Linked DNA regions of Saccharomyces cerevisiae S288C. The gene in region 2 interacts genetically with the main gene of each other region. Each region holds a gene or a part of one and is shown on either strand. Other genes may lie near its edges.

Region 1 (7,159 bases), 410 kb from region 2:
ATATTAATGGATACAATGAGTACTTAGCACGAAGAAAGCGTAGCATTGTAGTTTCATCGTTGCAACTTAGTCCTAGTACGTTCCAGTTCTGCATCGTGACTCACCTTGAGCTCGAAAAATGTGACATATACGTTTTCCGCTGTGGCCGCTGTGGCCGCAGCGTCAAGAATCGCCAATGATAAGTTCTCTGCTCCTGGCGTCGATAGATTCAGAAAAGTGTGAAATTATCGAAGCACGGGTATAGTTAATTGTTAAAGCGTAGATGCTTTGTCGTAGAAACTTTTCTTTAACCTATAGGGAACTCAAATTCTGGAAGGTCAACGTATAATGGAGGACAGTAAAAAGAAAGGATTAATAGAAGGCGCTATACTCGATATAATAAACGGTTCCATTGCAGGCGCCTGTGGTAAGGTGATCGAGTTTCCTTTCGATACTGTGAAAGTCAGGTTGCAAACACAAGCATCCAACGTGTTCCCAACAACATGGTCTTGTATAAAATTTACTTACCAAAATGAAGGAATAGCACGAGGGTTTTTTCAAGGCATTGCTTCACCTTTAGTTGGAGCATGTCTGGAGAACGCGACATTATTTGTGTCTTATAACCAATGTTCTAAATTTTTAGAAAAACATACAAACGTTTCCCCGTTGGGGCAAATCCTGATCTCTGGTGGAGTAGCGGGTTCATGTGCTAGTTTAGTTTTGACACCCGTGGAGCTGGTGAAGTGTAAGTTGCAGGTTGCGAACTTACAAGTTGCATCAGCTAAAACGAAACATACAAAGGTGTTGCCTACAATAAAAGCAATTATAACTGAGAGAGGATTGGCAGGATTGTGGCAAGGGCAATCGGGCACTTTTATTCGAGAAAGCTTCGGTGGTGTTGCCTGGTTTGCAACCTACGAAATAGTTAAGAAGTCGTTGAAAGATAGGCACTCCCTTGATGACCCAAAAAGAGATGAAAGTAAGATATGGGAACTACTTATTAGTGGAGGGAGCGCTGGATTGGCATTCAACGCCAGTATTTTTCCTGCGGATACTGTGAAATCAGTAATGCAAACTGAACATATAAGCCTCACCAATGCGGTGAAGAAGATATTTGGCAAATTTGGACTAAAGGGTTTTTATCGAGGACTGGGTATAACCCTTTTTAGGGCAGTACCAGCAAACGCTGCAGTTTTTTACATCTTTGAGACTCTTTCTGCACTTTAAATACAATAAATCGTGTAATAAGCAAGTATGTAACATTGATAGACAGTCTGTAATACCATTTACTGATCAAGAATGTCGCACAATCTCAACAGCCAGGCTTTGTGTTAGTATTTTGTGTTTTTTACAACAACCTCTCGACTATTGTATACCAGTTTCTTGCATAGATGCTACTATTCTCTGACAGTAAATTATCTAGTCAGGACTTCGGATTTAACTAAATGCAAAAAAAAAAATGATTCGAATGTAAACAAAAAAAACTGTCTAGGTAGCAATGGTTCTTCTATAAAAGTGCAAGCTCTATAAAATCAAGATCAAGCATAGTACCGCCCACTGTTAGAGTCTTTGGTACGCAAACATTTTTGGCTACCGGATGTTGCGAAGAGAACTAAATAACTCTATCAGCAACAGGTCGATAGAAAATGAATCCTTTCCTTTTGAAAGGCCGAATGTCAGCTATATAATATCCGCAGAATTTGATAATAAATTAGGTCCTATTTTGAAGCACCAATACCCGAAAGATATTCCAGGTTTCAATCAGTTCTCACATGAGCAACGCAACGGCAATACGTCGGTGTCTATGAACTTGGCAAGTTTAATGATACCGAGTAGCATAGAGAGAAATCCCGGCAAACAAGATATTACAGTGTTTACCCTTTATTACAATAAGTTTACTCAAAACTATCAACTCTTTCCTGTGCCAAAAGACCCTCGTTTCAGTTTCAATCTGCATCATCGTGAACAGTCAGATGGTAGTGTTACCAATAGCATATATTACGATGCCGAAAATCATCAAGATGCAAAAAATAATAGATACACTATTGTCTTGGAAGATGATGAGCTCGAATGCCAGGAAGTTCAGAATAATCAGAAAGCCATCGACAACGAACCTTTATTTTTCATAAATGTCGCCAACACAGTATTAGACACCACGAACGATAGAGGGGCAGTAATCAAGTCGATTGCCATCGGAACACCATTAAAAACCTTCTTTGCATTCAAAAATATTATTGTATTAGTGTTAGACTTGTATATGAAAGCTCCCACTCAAGCTGCTGCTACAGACATACTGCTTGATTGCTTTAATATGCTAAACAGTATTGACCTTACATTGATTAATGACATACATTCCAAAAGTAGTATACAAGAAGTGCTACACTCTATCCATGACGAATCTATCATTACCAAAGTATTTTTAGACCCGGATTCCACTTTAAAGAAACTCTTTTGCATCAATGGATTTGACACTAAGGACAAGTATGGTAACATTGTGACTTTTCATGACCAACTCATTCAATATCATTTTACAAGATTTCAGCCAAAGACGCTCCCGCCATTTTTGTTAAAAATCCCATTGCAATTTAATATGATTAGAAGAGAGCCTATTTATATTGAAAATGATTATAATGAACTAGTTTTAAAATTTTTGGATAAATTTGTCCCTTACCTTCTTAAAGCCGGACAAAAAGTTAATGCATGGAAGTTAGTCATCAATTCAACTAAACTGAGTAAAGAAGACCTATGCGCTTTTATTTTGTCATTAGCCAACATAACGGCAACTTATGCTAGCGATCCACAATCATACTTCAAAGGAAATGCTGCGTTGATTTTTCCCTATATGGACATTTCTCTTGTTGACGGTTTGCGGGCGTATGTAGCATCGAATAGTGATTTTGTCGGATGCTTTGCAATTATCGGAACTGCCAATCCAATTTTCCGATACCAGTTAGATATCTGGGATTATTACTACGATGTGGATGAGGGAGTGTTTTATGAAAATAATAGTCCAGAAAAAGAAAAGCCAGATACAGTGGCAGAAGTGAAGATTGGGCCTAACCCTTTGAGAAAGATATTCAATAGGCCTCATTTCTCAACCAACGCAGTCAACGAAAGTCAGGTAAACTTGGGCCAGAAGCTCTTTTCTCTTCTTATCGACGAATATCATGATAGTGATACTATCATGAGCGTTTTGAGAAGGCTGAATGTTCTTCAGTTGGAAAACCTTCTGGACGCTTTGAAAAGACGAGAAATTCCACCTAATATAGCACTAAAAGATGAATATATCATGTTTTATAAAGATTTTTTCATTTTCCCGGAGTTCTTTGATTATTTTACACTGCATAGTATTGAACTATTGTCTAACTTGGATAATTGTTTATTTAGCTTAGGAAACACATGCCAGTTATTTTCCACAGAGCAAATATATTCCCAATTAAGCCAAATATTGGACATTGTTAAAGAGCTGTTTCGCATGGTATCGGTAAGCAGGACAAACATTGAGAAGTTTTTAAACGCTTGTTTGAACTATTCTCCGTTCAAAATATTACCCACAGCTCAGTTACACGGTGATAATATTTCTAGGTGGAGTTTTGAAAGCGAAGTGCGTCAGGGTTTCGATAATTTTAACAGCTATATGGGCATCGAAAAAGATCCCCACGGTGTTATAGTATCAGCAATAGATCTTTTTACTCAAATTTACAGTTTTGATATCTTGGCGTTTTTCCTCACATTTATTACAAAAGAAAGTGGGCAGGATTTGCCCTTCACAAAATCTCTGTCCAGGAGAAGAACGTATTTGACCAGAATTGCTCAATCTTCTTCATTGAGACAGTTTTTACAACTGAGTACACGCCCTAATATAAGGATTCTGGGAGGTAATGGGCAGGGTACTGGAAATTCCAATTATCCCGAATTTACAAACGCATCCTCAGTCATCTCACCCAAGCTAAGGGCTTCTCCTCTACTAGAAAGAAGGGCGTCAAAAATCTGCTATGCTATTACGAAATTACTCTATAGGTTAGAATGTCATCCCATAGGTATGGCCCTTTTAAAGAAGTATCTCCACAATCAATTGCGAGAAGCCTATCTAGAATCAAAACGACACTTTATTTCCAAAAAGGGAGATTCGACCAACACTTCCTCTACCATTGCATCATCATCTTTCGCTGGCGCATCTGTTCCTCTATCTTCAAACGAATCAGGAATGCTAAACGGCTTGAAGCAAATTAACGAACAACAAGAATCTACATTAGAAACCACTCAAAAGGAAGACTAGTAACGCCGTATCGTGATTAACGTATTACATAAGTTACAGGATTCATGCTTATGGGTTAGCTATTTCGCCCAATGTGTCCATCTGACATTACTATTTTGCATTTTAATTTAATTAGAACTTGACTAGCGCACTACCAGTATATCATCTCATTTCCGTAAATACCAAATGTATTATATATTGAAAGCTTTTGACCAGGTTATTATAAAAGAAACTTCATGCTCGAAAAAGATCATTTCGAAAAGTTGCCTAGTTTCATGAAATTTTAAAGCAGTTTATATAAATTTTACCTTTTGATGCGGAATTGACTTTTTCTTGAATAATACATAACTTTTCTTAAAAGAATCAAAGACAGATAAAATTTAAGAGATATTAAATATTAGTGAGAAGCCGAGAATTTTGTAACACCAACATAACACTGACATCTTTAACAACTTTTAATTATGATACATTTCTTACGTCATGATTGATTATTACAGCTATGCTGACAAATGACTCTTGTTGCATGGCTACGAACCGGGTAATACTAAGTGATTGACTCTTGCTGACCTTTTATTAAGAACTAAATGGACAATATTATGGAGCATTTCATGTATAAATTGGTGCGTAAAATCGTTGGATCTCTCTTCTAAGTACATCCTACTATAACAATCAAGAAAAACAAGAAAATCGGACAAAACAATCAAGTATGGATTCTAGAACAGTTGGTATATTAGGAGGGGGACAATTGGGACGTATGATTGTTGAGGCAGCAAACAGGCTCAACATTAAGACGGTAATACTAGATGCTGAAAATTCTCCTGCCAAACAAATAAGCAACTCCAATGACCACGTTAATGGCTCCTTTTCCAATCCTCTTGATATCGAAAAACTAGCTGAAAAATGTGATGTGCTAACGATTGAGATTGAGCATGTTGATGTTCCTACACTAAAGAATCTTCAAGTAAAACATCCCAAATTAAAAATTTACCCTTCTCCAGAAACAATCAGATTGATACAAGACAAATATATTCAAAAAGAGCATTTAATCAAAAATGGTATAGCAGTTACCCAAAGTGTTCCTGTGGAACAAGCCAGTGAGACGTCCCTATTGAATGTTGGAAGAGATTTGGGTTTTCCATTCGTCTTGAAGTCGAGGACTTTGGCATACGATGGAAGAGGTAACTTCGTTGTAAAGAATAAGGAAATGATTCCGGAAGCTTTGGAAGTACTGAAGGATCGTCCTTTGTACGCCGAAAAATGGGCACCATTTACTAAAGAATTAGCAGTCATGATTGTGAGATCTGTTAACGGTTTAGTGTTTTCTTACCCAATTGTAGAGACTATCCACAAGGACAATATTTGTGACTTATGTTATGCGCCTGCTAGAGTTCCGGACTCCGTTCAACTTAAGGCGAAGTTGTTGGCAGAAAATGCAATCAAATCTTTTCCCGGTTGTGGTATATTTGGTGTGGAAATGTTCTATTTAGAAACAGGGGAATTGCTTATTAACGAAATTGCCCCAAGGCCTCACAACTCTGGACATTATACCATTGATGCTTGCGTCACTTCTCAATTTGAAGCTCATTTGAGATCAATATTGGATTTGCCAATGCCAAAGAATTTCACATCTTTCTCCACCATTACAACGAACGCCATTATGCTAAATGTTCTTGGAGACAAACATACAAAAGATAAAGAGCTAGAAACTTGCGAAAGAGCATTGGCGACTCCAGGTTCCTCAGTGTACTTATATGGAAAAGAGTCTAGACCTAACAGAAAAGTAGGTCACATAAATATTATTGCCTCCAGTATGGCGGAATGTGAACAAAGGCTGAACTACATTACAGGTAGAACTGATATTCCAATCAAAATCTCTGTCGCTCAAAAGTTGGACTTGGAAGCAATGGTCAAACCATTGGTTGGAATCATCATGGGATCAGACTCTGACTTGCCGGTAATGTCTGCCGCATGTGCGGTTTTAAAAGATTTTGGCGTTCCATTTGAAGTGACAATAGTCTCTGCTCATAGAACTCCACATAGGATGTCAGCATATGCTATTTCCGCAAGCAAGCGTGGAATTAAAACAATTATCGCTGGAGCTGGTGGGGCTGCTCACTTGCCAGGTATGGTGGCTGCAATGACACCACTTCCTGTCATCGGTGTGCCCGTAAAAGGTTCTTGTCTAGATGGAGTAGATTCTTTACATTCAATTGTGCAAATGCCTAGAGGTGTTCCAGTAGCTACCGTCGCTATTAATAATAGTACGAACGCTGCGCTGTTGGCTGTCAGACTGCTTGGCGCTTATGATTCAAGTTATACAACGAAAATGGAACAGTTTTTATTAAAGCAAGAAGAAGAAGTTCTTGTCAAAGCACAAAAGTTAGAAACTGTCGGTTACGAAGCTTATCTAGAAAACAAGTAATATATAAGTTTATTGATATACTTGTACAGCAAATAATTATAAAATGATATACCTATTTTTTAGGCTTTGTTATGATTACATCAAATGTGGACTTCATACATAGAAATCAACGCTTACAGGTGTCCTTTTTTAAGAATTTCATACATAAGATCACTTATTATACATACATACATATCCAGTAACAAGAAGCAAGGAATAATTACCTGCTTAAGTCTGCGATTAAAAAAATAACGTTTCGATACAGTTCATATAAGGCGGCTCAATGCAGAACCGAGGATAGCGCTACGTCAGGATATCTTTGTAGTTCCCAAATATAAATGCGACAATATAGTTTCTTTCTTTCATATCAATAATATCCTTTTCTCCACTGAAATCACGAATCAAACCTGGAGCAAAAACTAAAGCCAAATTATAAAGCGTCATTCGATTCCAGTGACTGTACCGTGTAACCTTTTCTATATGTTCACTCAGTACTCTTAACACCCTATAATGTTCCCTTG
Region 2 (5,741 bases):
CTCGTGCAACCATTGCCTGCATCCAAAAAGCCATATTTTAGAACGCAGAGCTCTGGCTCCTTGTTAAGTAGAAAGTTCAAATCATTTAGGTCTACTTCTGGTCGTGCCACAACAGGGTTAAACACTCCAGAGGAGCCCAAAGGAATTCTGCCAGATACTCCGCACGTTATTAATGATGACTCGGCCTTCCCTCAAGCTATCAATACAACTCAGCAGTCTAAGGATGCAACTCCAGAATCTATGTTATGGAATCATCCTTTCAAGCTAGAGCAAAAACTATCCGCTATTTCATCACAAGATTTACCGAGTAACAACACTCATAACAAACTAAGATCATCTGAAAACTCAAGGGCGAATTCCACGTCAACCTTGGAAGGCAACGAAAAGAAGAAGCCTGAGTTCATGCCCGATTTACTGGAGCAAATTCAAGAGTCTTACAAGCAACAATATATGAATACTTCTTCTCTAAAATACCTGACGAAGAGGCTTCCAGTCACCAAGATAATCAAGGCTAGTTCATGTCCAATTATTAGAGTAAAATCTGCCACGTTAGTTTTGGTCCATCTTTGGAAGGAAGGCTCATGTGGTGGCAGGGTATTATTTTCCACCCTATTACCGCCATCTCATGTCGATAATGAAACCGTCAGCGGCGGCAAAGAAAATTCCAAACCGCCAGATGATGAAGAAGTAGACCTTCAAGCTGTAGATGATGACAAATTAGGAAAATATGATCTTATTGATGGCGAGTTAGGAAGCAGACTCAACAGAAGGCAAATTTTTGAGCAATTGGAGGAAAATTTGCCCTACTGGTTTGCAAAAGCTTTATTTAGAGATATTAAGACGGTGGAAGAGCAACCAAAGTTGAACTTCTTAATCATGCCATGGTCTTCTGTTGGTGGGAGTGAGGCAGCTGGCAATGAAAACAAGAAGAAGTTTATTAGTGCATCAGATACCACAGAATCTTCTGGCAACGATAGTAGCGATAGCAGCCTTGGAAATGGTAATGAAGCCGTTTCCCCATCAACACAGCAACAGTTCCATAATATGCTAAAGTTTGGCCGTCCGAAGACCAGCGAGCAGGAGTTAAACCCCACAGATTTACCGAGAATCTCTGAGGCGAATGTCAAGCTGGTTGCGCCTGGAATGATTAGGGTGAAAAAAATTAAACTTTACGTCGCTGACAGATTTGAAACGAAAACTCCTGAAATGAAAGCAAAAATGGAACCTAGTCTTTGGTTGGATCTACTATGTAGGGGCCAAGTGCTTGATAACGATATGACTTTAAATACCGTTAGAACACTTTACTGGAAATCTCAGGGTGACATAGTTCTAGAATACAGAAGAAAAGTACATAATTCACCGCTAGTTCATGAGGTCAACGGGAATGAGGGGAAATGATAATGTTTATTTAAATTATATTTTGGGGTCTGAATTTGGAGTTTTTAAGCGTAAATATATAGTAACAATACCAACAATAATACTAATAATACTATAATAGTAGTTGCAGTAACAATGACAAGATAAAGAATATTCTTCTGAAATGTCTAAAGAACGAAGAAAAAAGCAAGTACTCATTGGAATGCTATGTGTAACAACTCATACATACTCTAGAGCTTTATAATAATTACATAGACATTTTTATAATATTATTTATTTATCAAATTTTATATTGAATAGGTACCATCAAGTTATGCACACATTCTTCATTAAAATACAGTCTGTAAATAATTGTGAATATGGGCGACCTGAATGATGTTCTTATTATCTCAAATATTTCTAATTTTTTTTAATCATTTTTGTTTCTTTAAGAGCAATTAATTTACAGAGCGGGGAACAGTGGCCAATTTTTTGAGCTAAAGAACAGCATAACAACAAAACAACAGAAAAAAAACACAGCGAGTCTAGTGCAAGTACGTCGGCAAAGTAAAACACAAAGGAGATGAAATTGCACGGCTTTTTATTTTCCGTATTATCAACATGCGTCGTCATTTTACCAGCGTTGGCCTACAGTGAAGCTGTCACGATGGTCAAGTCGATTGAGCAGTACTTCGATATCTGCAATAGGAATGATTCTTACACAATGATAAAATACTACACTTCTTGGTGCCAACATTGTAAAACTCTGGCCCCAGTATACGAAGAGCTTGGTGAGCTATACGCCAAAAAAGCTAATAAAGATGATACCCCAATTAACTTCCTTGAAGTTAACTGTGAATTCTTCGGGCCAACTTTATGTACCGACTTGCCTGGATTTCCAATAATTGAACTGGTCAAACCTCGTACTAAGCCCTTAGTTCTTCCGAAGCTCGATTGGTCGTCTATGAAATTTCATGAAAGACTATGGCAAAGAATCAAGACGTGGTTCAACAATCCTAAGTACCAACTGGATACGTCTAGGGTTGTTCGTTTTGAAGGGAGTAGGAACCTAAAGAGTTTAAGCAACTTTATCGATACTGTAAGAAGTAAAGATACAGAAGAAAGATTCATAGAACATATTTTCGATGATTCTAGGAATTGCAATGAAGAATTACGTTCTCAACAGCTTCTGTGTAAAGCTGGTAAAGAATACTACTCTGATACTTTATCTAAATTATACGGTGACGTGAATGGGCTGGAAAAGGAAAGGCGAAGACTAGAAGCTTTAATTAAGCAAAATGGAGATGACTTGAGTAAAGAAGTTAAAGAAAAACTGAAAATCATTCGTCTACAATTGAGCCTATTATCACACATAGAAGACCAGTTAGAAGATACCAGTAGTCATGACGAGCTTTGAACATAAGCTTCGCTCTGTCTTTTACTTTACGAATACCGACTACAGACGGAAGCGGGACCCTCACCCTGAGGTACAACAAATACACAGATACATATATATTTAACAATGTACGTTAGCCGCAATATAAGTGAGATTGTGTAGGTGAAAGATTATGGAGATATACATAAATATTACAGAAGGTCTACCACATGTGTTTTGAATATTGGCTTGTGCTAAGGTAACACTGTTATTTTATTCATTAGAGAAACATCTCTTACCCTGTTTGGTTTTGGTATAATCTCCAATTACGTACATGAAAGATGGCTTTATATAAAAAGCCTTTAATTCGAAAAAAGAATAAATGTCTTAGGGAGCTTATTATCGTACTTTAATTCAACTTAGGAAATCAGCACTCTCCACTCCAAATCTTCGGTTTGAAATAATGGAAAATCAAGGTGGAGATTACAGCCCAAATGGGTTTTCAAACTCAGCAAGCAATATGAATGCGGTTTTTAACAATGAAATCACCGGTAGAAGTGACATTTCAAATGTAAACCATCAAACTGGTACCCCACGTCTGGTTCCTGAAACTCAAATATGGTCGATGCCTGTGCCAGATCAACTGATGACGATGCCTAACAGAGAAAACACCCTTATGACAGGTAGTACAATAGGTCCAAATATCCCCATGAATGTGGCTTATCCCAATACAATATACTCGCCAACAGAGCATCAGTCGCAATTTCAGACACAACAGAACCGTGACATCAGCACGATGATGGAACACACTAACAGTAATGATATGAGCGGCTCTGGTAAAAATCTCAAGAAACGTGTATCAAAGGCCTGTGACCATTGCCGAAAAAGAAAAATCAGATGTGATGAAGTGGACCAGCAGACCAAAAAATGTTCAAACTGTATTAAGTTTCAGTTGCCTTGCACTTTCAAACATCGTGATGAGATTCTTAAGAAGAAAAGAAAATTAGAAATCAAACATCATGCAACACCAGGGGAATCACTTCAAACCTCAAATAGTATTAGCAATCCTGTAGCGTCTTCTTCAGTACCGAACAGTGGAAGGTTTGAACTTTTAAACGGTAATTCCCCCTTAGAAAGCAATATCATCGATAAAGTCTCCAATATTCAAAATAATCTTAACAAAAAAATGAATTCAAAGATTGAAAAATTGGATAGAAAAATGTCTTACATTATTGACAGTGTGGCTAGACTTGAGTGGTTATTGGACAAGGCTGTTAAAAAGCAGGAAGGCAAATACAAGGAAAAGAACAATTTGCCCAAACCAGCGAGAAAAATATACTCTACGGCACTTTTAACTGCTCAAAAACTCTATTGGTTCAAACAAAGTTTAGGAGTGAAAGCGTCCAATGAGGAGTTTCTTTCTCCAATCAGCGAAATATTAAGCATATCTTTAAAATGGTATGCAACTCAAATGAAAAAATTTATGGATTTGTCATCTCCGGCTTTCTTCTCCAGCGAAATAATATTATACTCATTACCTCCGAAAAAGCAAGCAAAGAGACTTCTTGAGAATTTTCATGCTACCTTATTATCCTCTGTAACTGGTATAATATCGTTAAAAGAATGTCTAGACTTAGCAGAAAAGTACTACAGCGAAAGCGGCGAAAAACTCACATATCCTGAACATTTATTATTAAACGTGTGTCTCTGCTCGGGTGCATCTGCCACTCAATCAATTATAAGAGGTGATTCAAAGTTTCTAAGGAAAGATAGATATGATCCAACCTCCCAAGAGTTAAAAAAAATCGAAAACGTTGCCTTACTAAATGCCATGTATTATTATCATAAGCTGTCCACCATCTGTTCAGGTACAAGAACACTACAAGCTTTATTACTACTGAACCGATATTTTCAACTTACCTACGATACTGAACTAGCAAATTGTATTTTAGGAACCGCGATTAGATTGGCGGTTGACATGGAATTAAATAGAAAATCCTCTTACAAGTCACTAGACTTTGAAGAAGCCATAAGGAGAAGAAGAATGTGGTGGCATTGTTTTTGTACAGATAAACTATATTCTTTAATGTTATCCAGACCCCCTATTGTGGGGGAACGCGATATGGATATGCTAACAGATCAAAATTATTATGAAGTGATAAAAACTAATATTCTACCTGATCTTATTGATAAAAAGGAAGATCTCGATAAAATTACTGATGTCAACTCTGCATTGAATGTAGTTGTAAATTTTTGTCAGCACATATCCCTTTTCATATCATATTATGTTTCAAAATTGGTTAGTATTGAGAGTAAAATATACTCTACTTGTTTTGCTGTCAGAAGTACTCTAGATCTTTCATTCGATGCCATGCTTGATAAAATCAAAGATCTCAATGATTCTTTGAACAATTGGAGAGACAACTTGCACGTAAGTATGAAACTAAAAAGTTATAAACAGTATTTATCGGTACTTTACGCTCAAAAATCCCAAGAAAATCCGGCTTTAAGTTTTGAGATTGCATGCTCTCGTGTTTTGAATTGTCATTTTAGGGCGCTATATTCTAAAGTGATTTTGAGCATGATGACTACATCCTTATTGATTGATAACGAACGCCTATACAAAGGTTCTCGCCATGATATTCCTCAGCTATTCATTCTTTTTTCAAGTCAATACTTAAACGCCAGTAAAGAAATGTTACAGCTGTTTCAAGGCATCAATTACCAGGCGCATATGTATAACGAGGTTATGTATCAGTTCTCTACTGCTATGTTTGTTCTCTTCTTTTACGTTGTGGATAATATGAACGATCTAAAAAAGAAAGGTGAGGTAAAAGAGATCATCGATATCCTAAAAAAATCTTATGATCGATTAGTGGGAGAAAATGATGAGCAGTTACTGTTTGACAATGTCAAATGGAACACTTTGATTGTGTTCTACAGCCACTTTTTGAAATACGTTTTGCAACGTTATCATGCTTTGAACGATTCTACGTCAATATTTGATTCT

Evidence for each region.
Region 1: mutations in MPD2 (region 2) and ADE2 together harm fitness more than expected from each alone (negative genetic interaction), as found in Saccharomyces cerevisiae (one large-scale study listed by BioGRID).

The regions. Positions count from the first base shown.
Region 1 is NC_001147.6:563,976-571,134, reverse strand, and holds ADE2 (phosphoribosylaminoimidazole carboxylase ADE2), read left to right. Parts: upstream 1-4,943; coding exon 4,944-6,659; downstream 6,660-7,159. Other genes in the region: ORT1 (Ort1p), read left to right, coding at 328-1,206; AFI1 (Afi1p), read left to right, coding at 1,577-4,258; GTPase-activating protein RGA1, read right to left, coding at 6,942-7,159.
Region 2 is NC_001147.6:150,944-156,684, reverse strand, and holds MPD2 (protein disulfide isomerase MPD2), read left to right. Parts: upstream 1-1,939; coding exon 1,940-2,773; downstream 2,774-5,741. Other genes in the region: DUF1 (Duf1p), read left to right, coding at 1-1,398; HAL9 (Hal9p), read left to right, coding at 3,195-5,741.